Rhinolophus ferrumequinum: one gene and its partners. Each later gene encodes a partner of the first gene's protein in a complex. Links are inferred from orthologs where the notes say so. Each region holds a gene or a part of one and is shown on either strand. Other genes may lie near its edges.

What was found. The genes of interacting proteins can lie anywhere in the genome.
Region 2: UXT (region 1) and DNAAF10 share a complex: the UniProt entries of both Homo sapiens proteins name them as parts of the PAQosome complex. The link is inferred for Rhinolophus ferrumequinum from reciprocal best matches to the Homo sapiens genes UXT and DNAAF10.
Region 3: UXT (region 1) and PDRG1 share a complex: the UniProt entries of both Homo sapiens proteins name them as parts of the PAQosome complex. The link is inferred for Rhinolophus ferrumequinum from reciprocal best matches to the Homo sapiens genes UXT and PDRG1.

The regions. Positions count from the first base shown.
Region 1 is NC_046284.1:86,247,164-86,250,914, forward strand, and holds the start of UXT (protein UXT), read left to right. Parts: upstream 1-1,104; 5' UTR 1,105-1,119; intron 1,120-3,751. UniProt on the Homo sapiens protein: Involved in gene transcription regulation. Acts in concert with the corepressor URI1 to regulate androgen receptor AR-mediated transcription. Together with URI1, associates with chromatin to the NKX3-1 promoter region.
Region 2 is NC_046296.1:22,366,038-22,369,788, forward strand, and holds the start of DNAAF10 (dynein axonemal assembly factor 10), read left to right. Parts: upstream 1-827; 5' UTR 828-935; coding exon 936-1,118; intron 1,119-3,751. Other genes in the region: RNA-binding protein PNO1, read right to left, coding at 227-433. UniProt on the Homo sapiens protein: Key assembly factor specifically required for the stability of axonemal dynein heavy chains in cytoplasm.
Region 3 is NC_046306.1:22,580,321-22,584,071, forward strand, and holds the start of PDRG1 (p53 and DNA damage-regulated protein 1), read left to right. Parts: upstream 1-1,397; 5' UTR 1,398-1,484; coding exon 1,485-1,571; intron 1,572-3,177; coding exon 3,178-3,253; intron 3,254-3,751. UniProt on the Homo sapiens protein: May play a role in chaperone-mediated protein folding.

The DNA of each region.
Region 1 (3,751 bases):
GATTTTACTTTACAAGGAACTATAAATAATAAAGTATCCTAGAAGATGCTTTTAGTGACACATTACATTAGAGAAAACAACCATTGGCCCTATCAATTTAAAACGTATTTTTATTTTTTTAATTTATTTTTTAATTACATTTATTGGTTGACAATGGTTAGTAAAATTACATAGGTTTCAAGTGTACAATTCTATAATACGTCATCTATATATCACATTGTGTGCTCACCACCGAGTCAGTTCTCATTCTATCACCATATAGTTGACCTCCTTTACTCCCTTCTATCACCCCCCCCCCTTATTTTTATTGATACCTGTTATCACTTCAGTTGGGTCGACCTGGCTACTGTGGGGGCTGATTGAGATTATGGGCAGGTTTAGGTCCTCATTCCCCTGCCTCAGCTCAGTGGGACTGGACGCTACCACTCCTACTTCTGTGCCCTCTCTCCTCATGGTATCTCCCAGGACCCGGACCTTACCGCTCCTACAGCATCCCTTCAAGAACACTCCATAGTATCGCCCAAGTGGGGGGGAGGTTCCATCGTGACATTTCTCCCCTCTCCTCCAGTGGTATCTCCCAGACTCTACTCTTCCTCTTTTCATAGTAAGGGCTCCCCCTCAACCCTGTGCCTTGTTATTAGGTACAGGTGTGTATATTTTTTTGGAATTAGGCTCTAGAAGTTGAGTTCCAGAGCCTAACTCCAAAAATGCCTGTCCACCAGGAAATTTACCCAAAGAAGGGCAGGCTACCTCTTCTCAGGGCAGCCCCACTGTTCTGCAGCGTGAGGCAGGAGGCAACGGCTTCTTCCACTGTACGGCTGGCACACCTGTCCAAGATGGCAGTGCCCACAGAGCAGCGCCGCTTGGGTGCAGCCATATTCCGATCTCAAAAAAGCAGCGGATGGCAAGAGAACTATGGCAGACGCCGGTGACTGCGCCCTGATGATTGCGCAACTCAACTTCGCAGGTACTTTTGAGCGTGCGCATCAGACACCCAGTCTCCCGCCAGGTAGACACCCTGGCGTTAGAGGTCAGAACTCGAAAGGGAAGCGTTTCTCAGGACCCAGGTGCTAGCGCCTGAGCCGTGCTGCGGTAATTTTGAAGTGGTTGGCTACCCAGGTACTGTGGGCTGAGTGATGGGGGCCAGGATCTGGGTCGATGGTGGGACTTCTGTGGTTTCAGTGATGGGGTCTTTTATATCGGATGCTCAGCTAATTATTAGTCAGCCTTTCTTTTTCTAATTAAAGCATTAGGACCATACATTTCCATCTAAGACCCAAAAGATATGTTGTATTGTATTATCGTTATTTCTCATGTCTAAGTATTTTTAAATTTCAGTTAAGATTTTTTCATTTCACACGTGTCATTTTGAAGCGCATTTCTGTTTGCAATAAACAGTACTACTGATATTGATTTCTAATCTGATTTCTCAGTGGTCAGATAAGTGAATTGTGTCATGAACATTCCTTGAAATCTGTGGAGACTTGCCGAGTGGCAAAGTCCTTTGTATCTTTCCATGAATGCTCCATCTATCGCGTCAAAAGAATGTGTTCTCAAAAGAAAAAAAAAAAAAGAATGTGTTCTCCAACTGTGAATTGTGTTCAAAATTTGTATACGCTCTCTGATTTTTTTTTCACTTACTCGTTCTGTATAGAGCAGCGTGATGGTGATTTGTGCATTTCTCTTTGCTTGTGTCAACTTTTGTTGTACTTGAACCTTATTATTAGGTACAGATGTGCATATTTTTATCATTAATTAATTAATTTATTTTTATTAGTTTCAGGTGCATAAAACAAAGTAATAGTTAGAAATTTATCATTTATATCCCACACAGTGACAACCTCCCTCCCCCATCAACTAACCCTCTGACATCGCACACAGCCATGACATTTCCACTGTCTCTGTTCCTAATGCTGTACTCTGCTCTCTTGTAAATATATATATATATATATATATATATATATATATATATATATATATATATAAAATTGTAGTTGACATTCATTATTGTTTAGCTTCAGTTTCAGGTGTACAGTGCAGTGATCAGGCATCTACATCATCCCTGAGGTGGTCTCCCTAATGAGACAAGTGTCCATCGGATACCCTACAAAATCTTTACAACATTATTGATTACATTCCCCAAATTGACTTTCGTATCCCCGTGGCAATCTTATGGTTACTGATGGTACTTTCTAATCCCCTCACCTTCCCTCTTATCCCCACCCCCCCTCCCATCTAGCAACCCTCAGTGTGCATATTTTTTTAAATAGACATTGCTAATGACTCTCAAAAATGTTATATATATATTACATGTATGCATATAATGCATATAATACATATAATACATATATGTGTATATATACATGAATGTATAATAAATATTCCACCAGAAATGTATAAATAACCCATTTTCCCAAATCCTCTCCAGCACTGGATGATGTTGTTCTTTTTCATTTTTTATCATTTGAGGGCTGAATAATTATATATAGTTTTTCTGTTTTACTTTTTCCACCTATTAAGTGAGGTTGAGCATCTTTTCCAGTTAATTGGGCGTTTGGATTCCTTCTGTGCATTTTCATATCCTTTGTGCATTCCTCCTCTCTCCCTTGGCTTTTACATGATAAACTTTCCTGGTCTCCCTCATTGAGTATTACTAGTGTCATATCTATTCCCATACATATTAAGATCAATTTCTGGACATTTTCTTATATTTCACTAGCCTATTTATCCCTGTTTTGATTGCATTAGTTTTCATTGTTAGCTTAATATCTGCTAGTCCCAGCACCCTCTCAGTATTCCCTTACATAATCTTCTTGGCTATTTATACTTCCATATAGAGTTTGAAATTGTTTTACCAAGTTGAAAAAGAATTGGAATTCTGATGGACACTTCATTACTTCAATAGAGTTAACATCGAAGCAGTGATATTTTTGTTTTTACTATATTCCTATCCAGGGATATGGTCTGTCTCTCCATGTACTTACATTTTGCGTTATATTATAGAATAACTATTAGTTTTCTTATTTTAAGTCGAGCATCGTTCTTGTGTTCATTTTTAGGTATTCTGTGTTTATTGTCCTTATTGGAAATAGGATATTTTTTCCCTTTTCTGTTTCAATCTGCTGTATTTATTTTCTTGTACCCTACCACCTTATCAAAATTCCCTGTGCTAGGTTTCTGACTATACAATGATGTCACCAGCAAATAAAAATGATTTTCTCCCCCTTCTCAGTATTTAGCCAGTTTATTTCATCTTCATATTTAATGTCATTAGCTAGAGCTTTGAAAACACTGTTGTGAGGGGAGCAACCCAATGTTGTTGCTAGTTTTAATGGAAACGTCTTCAGCATTTTACCTTCTAATGTTATGCTTCCTGATTATCTCCAGACTATGATCTTGGCTGAATTTTCATAGTTTCTTTCTAGCCTTGTTTTCATTTGAGAATTACTGCTGAATTGTGTCAAATACCTCTTTTTTCATATACATCGATACAATTGTGTTGTTTTTCTCCATAATTTGTTGATGTAATACATAAATTGATAATTGTACTAACATTAACCACCTTTGTCTTACTGGAAAACCCAATTTGGTCTTGGGATAAATTTTTATTTTCATACTAGCTGGATTCAAATTGCTAATATTTTATTTAAGATCTTTGCATCTATAAGACAAAATAATCTGCAGATAACTGCTTCTTTGTATTAGAACTATATATGTATTTTTTTTAAGATTTTTTTAAAGATTTTTTTTT
Region 2 (3,751 bases), on another chromosome or scaffold:
AAGAACACACAAGTCGAGATGTCTGGAGGAATGGGGGCGGAGTTGTAAAATGACAGCTGATCCTCAAAAAAGCTTCCTTTAACTGAAAGAATTAAACTTCAGCCGAGTCACTTCTCCAAAAACTTCACCCCAGAAGAGGCCCCGCAGCTTCAACATCACCCAAAGGCCACCGGCTTGACCACCCTCTGGCCTCTACCCCGTTCCTGTCCTATGGTCCCGCCAGTACCAGGAACCTGTCCCCGGAGAGGGGCGGGAAGACAGGCCTCTTCGCGGGCCGGGCCTCCTCCGTGTCCATGGGGCCCGCGTCTCCGTCCTTCCCCGCCGCGGAGATCTCCTCGGCCGGCCGTTTCTTCGCTCGCCGGCCACCCTTGCGGGTGACCTGGGTGAAGCCGTCCTCGGCCCCGGTGCTCTGTGCCTCCATTTCGGTCGCCATCCCCAGAAATCTCCAGGAGCAGCCGGCGCTTCCGGCTCGAACACGTGCGCGGCGGCACCGCGGCGGCTCCAGCGTCGGCCAACCCACCCCAGGGCTCCGCCCCCTTTCCTAAGAGGTCCCACGCAGGGGACTTCAAGCCCGATTCTGTGTGTGCTTGTTGGGAAGGAAAGGGGGTTATCCTACAATATGCCTTAGTCTTAGGGTCTCCCTCTGGTCCCGCCACAGCCCGAGCATTTTGTGATCTCTCATCTGAATATGTGCGAAAGGCAGTAGGTAAAGGCAATGAACAAATTTGTGCCATCGGTGAAGAAAAATCTTGTGTGACTTCAGGAGCACATCTGGCATTAACTAAGACAACTACATCCAGCTTGCTAGGGCGTTCGGGGACGAGTACGGCAAGTGGGAAGGACAAACTGTCATTACTGTTTGGAGTCTGGTTTCCAGGTTAGTGTTTTGTCAGGGTCTGAGTGTGTCAGTCGGAGGAGGCGAAGTCGGCTGCACTATGTCGGCCTTTGAGAAGCCTCAGATCATCGCCCATATCCAGAAGGGCCTCAACTACACGGTATTTGACTGTAAGTGGGTGCCCTGCAGCGCCAAATTTGTGACCATGGGCAACTTCGCACGGGGTACCGGCGTCATTCAGCTGTACGAGATCCAGCACGGGGACCTAAAGCTGCTTCGGGAGGTGGGTTCAGGGTCGAGACTGCCCAGTTCCAGGATCTGGGAGTGCCGTTGGCGACGAGTGCGGATCTTGGGGGTCTGCATTTCTTTTTGGCAAAGTTTTCGTTCAGGGTCCCCTAAAAGCACAGCTTAAGCTGCGCGGGAGTAGCGGAGATGACTGAAGATTGAGGAATAACTTCGACGTAAAATGCTTACGTTGGAGTCTTGAATTCTCCGAGGGCTTGTGCATCCGCGCCCTGCCGGCCCTTTCCTTCACCCACCTCCACAATCCCGAGCGAAATCTCTGGAAGTGACGTTCCGACTTCGGGTCTAAATTCGAGGCCCTTCTGGGCAGTGCGCAGTTTGTGGAGAGTCTGTCAATAAGGCCCCTGTTAGTAAAATGCTTCTTCACACAGGCAGAGCCAAAGCAGGCACCGGGATGCCTGCGGTGTAATTGGAGGAGACAACCTAACATTCATTCTTTCAACAAGTATCAGTTGATTGACGGGTGTTCCCAGGCGTGTGAATGACAATGTCGCCGATCTCATGGAGTTGTCTAGTGGGAGAAAGTATCAGTTAAATAATCACACCAACGATGCATAAATACAAACCAAGGTGAACTCTAGCGTAAAGGAACACCGTTCTATGAGAGTAAAACCAGATTTGAGATGAGTGGAAACTAACTAGGCCAAACTAGGAGCAGAGAAGGAGGTTTCCAGAGGAAACAGCATATGCGGAAGCTCAGCGGTGGGAGAGACGTTATTTTCTGAAACAGGAGAGGTAAGCAGGGACCAGCGTTGCAAGACCTGTAAGTCATTTAAAGATTTATGCCTTTTTTCTAAGAAAAATGGGACATCACTGAAGGGCTGTAAGCCGGGTGTGGCAAGCCCAGATTTACGAGTTTCGTAGAGATTACTTGTGAAAATTTGAAAGTAGTGACATTAACTAACATTTTTATACCAATTTAGAGTTTTAAAAATGCCTTGATTTGGGTTGCCTAAAAAAAAAAATTGTCATACTCAGATGTTTAGGGTTGTAATAGACTACAGGGAAGGTTGACAACTCCAAGGATCAAAAGCTATGGAGAGAATCTGCTTGGAGGACTAAGGGGTTAAACAATTTCGATAGGAAGGATTAGATTAGGAGGTATGTAAGGCCCCATTCCACTTTAATTTTCTATGAGTGCCAGGTTTCTTGGTCAGTTTGTCTTCTCTAGTCAGGCACTCTACTCTGAATAAACATGGCTTGTTCTTTTCTACCTTTTGTTGTATCTCCCAGTTACGTGTTGCTATTTAAAGGTCCAGTTCAGATTTTTTGATTTATGAAGTCTCTTGCTGATCCCCACACAACGTAACTTTTCTTACATTGCATTCCTATGGTACTTACTATCTGTGCCTGAAATACAAAGGGTGCCAAAAAAAATGTATACACATTTTAAGAAAGGGAAAAACTATTAAAATTGTAATGCTCAATATATACCGATAACAAAAGATGAATACAAATCACGTTTGACTTCTGCAATTACAAAAGGTCCTCAAAGTGGTTACCATCAGCGTAATTTTAATACGGTTTTTTTCTTAAAATGTATATACATTTTTTTGGCACCCTCTCTATATCATTCTGTTCCATTTATCTCTAATTACCGTATTTTGCTCTGTATAATGTACTCCCTGTGTATAATGTGCACCTATCCTTTTGGCCCAAACTTTCAGGGAAAAAACCTTTTGTTTTAATTTTTTTAATTCAAATTTTTATTTGTTTACATTTAGATACTTGTTTTTTGTATTATAAAGGAATTTTAGCATTTATTTTTAATCATATTACGGTACAAGAAATTTTATGTAACAAATAATCACAAAACACAAGAACAAGTACAAAGTACAAAAAATTTTATGTACTGGTAACAAATTTATGATATTTACGCTTTGTAGAAGGCCAAGAACTCTTCATCGTTGCAAGTTCATGGTAAGTTCAACAAAACTGATTATCGTATTCCAGGGTATTATTTTGCATATGGATATCGTTACTGCTTTCTAGAGTTACACTTTTAACTCATAAGCAGAAATAAAAGAATTAAAAACATTTATATAGATGCGGAATTAGTACTACCCGTGTATAACATGCATCCTTGTTTTTCCCTCACAAATTTGGGCAAAAAAGTGTGCGTTATACACGGCAAAATATGGTAGATTGTAAGCTCCTGGAGAGGAAGGAAGGTGTCATTCTTTAGTGTGGTATATAAGGAGCAGTCACTCAATAAATTATTTGTTAAAAGAATGAGTAAATGTATGTCTATAAAATAATATAACTTGGGAAATTTAAATATTGGTTTATTGACCATTCGATTGGGGTCAGGGGTTTGAACAGATGGGAAATATTAGAATAGCAGAAAGAAACTTAGCGGTGAAGTATTAGGAACAAATACCAATCAAAGCTCAACCAAAGAGCATCTATCTACAGACTTGTAACTTTTTTTACAAAACTATATCATTTGTGTACATTTTAGGAATATACTTGTTCATAAAGTAAAATAGTGCTCTTTGTTTTTTGTAGAGATTCTGGAGGAGTCTCATGCATTTTAAAAATAATTTGGCCTTTTAAACAAAAGTGATGTGTTAACGATAGAACATTTTAGTTTTCAATTAGCCGTAATTACGC
Region 3 (3,751 bases), on another chromosome or scaffold:
GTCCCAAAGTGGAGGAGACCCAGTTCTGGGGTCTAGGTCCCAGGAATGCCTAATGAGCCCCATTTTTCCTTTGGCAAATGTTCCCCCTTCCTTCCCAGGGCTTGTGTCTGCATTTCTGAACCAGAAGGTGTTTACACAAAACATCCTGGGTTTGGCGACAAATTCACCCTCAATGAGGAATCCTTAATGAATCTCCTTCTTTCCCTATACCAGGCAGCTGCAGGGAAAATTAGCTCTGCCTCAGGCAGTTGAAGGCAGCCAACGGCCAGGCAAAGAGGAGATGCCATTGAGACTTCTAGGGCCACAGTTTTGGAGAGGGCTTTTTTTCAGGGTGCAGAGATTGCTGTGGAATGGAGGCCAGAGAGCTTCTAGACCCACATTTGCTGCTGACATTCTAGATGACAAAGCATGGCCCTTCTCCCACCCGGAGTCTGCAGCTGTGAGATGGGGCAAAGGTTATTGTGAAATTCAAGTAAGGCAAGGGGTGTGCAAGGGCTTGGTCACAAGGGGCCAAAAGGGGAGAATAAAAAGCTAGACTTGGAGGCAACAGATCAGAGTTCTAACATCAGGTCCGCTGCCGACTTTTAAAAGTCCTTGCCGCATTCTGAGCCTTGGTTTTTCCAGCTATACAATGAGGGGTTTGGGCATGATCTCTAGGGAACCCTCTGGTTCTGAACGGCAGCCACTTGCCATCTGCCTGCCTCTTCTTGGAGGTCCTCCCCGATCCTACAGCCCACACTGACTCGCTTCCCAGAACGTACAGAACTTCTTTTCTGAGCTGGAACTTCATTACTCACTGCCTATGGTTTTCCAGCCCTTTCCTTAGGTCTAGGTCAACTACTCCAGACAGTGGGCCCAACACAGAGGTCAAAGTGCATTAAAAATGATTCCTGCCTCCTTCTGATCCTGCGGAAAGACAATGAGGGGGATTTTTATTAACCCCTATTTTATAGATCGGAAACTGAATGTATAAAATTAAATATAAGTCGCACTGCCATATGAGCCTCCTTGGTGTTCGCCAAACAGGGCAAGAATGATTTGTTTCTTTCCAAAGCCCTATCAGTGCCTGCCAGAGTATATAATTATTTGTTTTGTCGTTAACTGTTGGTGTTTCCTACTAGGATGAAGTTGCACGAGGGCAGGGACTTTTGTTTTGCTCACTGCTGCATCCTCAGTACTTAAAACTGCCTGTCACATAATAGATTGGTGCTCAAGAAATATGTGAGGGGAAGAAGGAAGAGATTGAGGCCACACTGCGGCCTGTGCTCTCTGGGCCTGCAGGGGGCGCTCCAGCCCTGCCCCCAAAGCTGGGCCCCGCCTCTCGCGTTCGGCTGACGCGCATGCGTTGGAGCCTGCGCGCCGCCGTTCGTTTTTTAATTGCGCATGTGTACTGTGAGTCCTCTCAGAGCGGCGCGTGCGCAAGCGGAGCTGGAGCAGACGGTGAGCAGGGTCGCGGCCCTGCGGAGTTGGAGCTGCCGGTGACGATGCTGTCCCCCGAGGCGGAACGGGTGTTGCGGTACCTGGTGGAAGTGGAGGAGCTCGCCGAGGCGGTGCTGGCGGACAAGCGGCAGGTGGGAGGCCCGTCCGCGGCGCTGGCGCCTGGGTTCGGCGGTTGCGGCCTGGTGACCAGCGCCGTGGGGAAGCGCGCGGGGTCCGGGATCTGGCTCCAGCGCCGGCTGGCAGTGAGTGGCCCGGGGCTGGTGGTCCGCTGGCTGTAAGGACAGACATAGGGCAGTTGTGAGATAACGTGGTGGAACGCTGGGCACGGCACCGCGCTTCACCCATTTATACGGCACGTCTTAGGTGAGCGCCTGCTGTGTGCTAGGCATCCCCTCTCTCTCCATCCTTCCTCTGCCCCTTACCGTGCTCTCCGGATCCCGCTCCATTACCCCTTTGGGCGGTTTACCTGAACCCCTTTTTCAAAATGCAGTTCCTGGTACTCTCAGTGACTTGGGTTGCACCGCCCCAGTCAAGGCCCTGAAGGGAGAAGAGGAATAGAAAAGAGGCCTGAGTGGTTTGTGATTGCGCAGGGGTGGGGACGCGGGAGGAAGGTGAGGCCGGGGTCGTAGAGGGCCTTGTGGACCTGAAGAGGAAGCTCGGGCCTGGTTCTAATTGAAGTGCCGGGTGTTTGAAGGGAGTTCATGGGGGGCGGGAGGATGAGATCATTGGATTTAGGTTTTATTAATAAAAGGATCCCCCTGGCCGCTCTGTGGAGCACAGACTGTAAGGAGGCAGGGGCCTGGTGGGGGCCAGTTGCCACAGTCCAGGTGAGGGATGGGTTTGATCCTGGGCGGCGAGGATGGAGACAGCGGATGGGTCAGAAATATATTTTGGAGATGGCCTTAGTCTCGATGATGGTTACATAGGGGTGAGAGCGTAGGAGGAGTCAAGAATGAGTCATGACTCTTCATCTCCAGTTAGAATGATTGATCGATTGGTTGGTCTGGTATTTACTTCGAGGGAGAAGACTCAGGAAGAGCTTATTGAACAGGGCATCAAGGTGTACTGGGCGATGATGATAGTAGTTAAGATTTATTGAGTACTTACTGTGCTAACTCATTTTGCTCCTGGCTCAATGACTAGGAGGTGAGTACTGTTCGTATCTCCGGTAAAGAGGAAGGTGGAATTGCACAGCACATAGCGGGCAGCAGGATTCAAACCTGGCTATTCTGGCTCCAGAGCCAGCGCTCTCAAGCAGCACATTGTACCGCCTCCTCACTTCCTTAGCAGCTGTTGTGTTGTTACCACCGTCTCAGTGTCCCACCCCTGCTGATCCAGTCTAGTTAGTTGGGCTTCTCATGATACTAATTAAGAATCAGCTGGAGGAGCTTGTGCAGGGAGAGGTTTCCACTCCCCTGGTGATTCTGAAATGCCCTAAAGCCTGTGAACTAGCACTCCAGTGGATAATAAAAATTATCCGTTTAGTTAACAGACGTTTTCCCAGCACCTTCTCTAGGGGGAAGACACCTGTACAAAGCATGGTCTTTAAACATCTGAGAGCTAAGTGGGAGAAAATATATATTCACACATCAGCCCATTTTACTTTCAGGACACTGGAAGTAAGCCAGGAATAACGCCTTGTTGTCTCTGTTAGGTTTTAATAGCCCCTGGTCTGTTGTGAGGTGATAGGCTGGGGCAAGAGGTAACTGTGTTCCCTCCTGCCTCTGAACTTTTCAGATTGTGGACCTGGACACCAAAAGGAATCAGAACCGAGAGGGCCTCAGGGCCCTGCAGAAGGATCTCAGCCTCTCTGGTAAGTCATGACTTCCTTACTGCAGCCGAGGAGGCCTGTTCCGTTTTCCATCTTGTACTTAATAGAGAGACCAGGCAGGAGGCCACAGGTCTGTGGCACGGCCTGCCCCTGGAGATAGGGGAGAACATTTCACAGGTCTGACACTGTGGCTCAGGGTTTTAGCTGCTCACCTCCATGACAAACCATTAGCCACTGGCTCACCAGTGGCATTAGGAAAGTGCTGGGAGGTATACAAACTGCGGTTCTTGCCCGTGTGTTCTACAGATGAGTAGAACGACATAAATACATAATTGAAAATTGGGAGGAAGTTGAAGAAGGGACTAGACATGGGGTAGGTGTTGGAGGAGGGAATGGGGGCTCTTTAGAGGCCAAGTGGCTGTAACAGAGGAAGCATAGGGGAAGGGCATTTGATGAGGCTGGGAAAGATGGGCCAGAGGCCAGGCCACAGTGAAGGGAAGTTTGAATTTTGTTTAAAGTGCATTGGAAAGTCTAAAACCT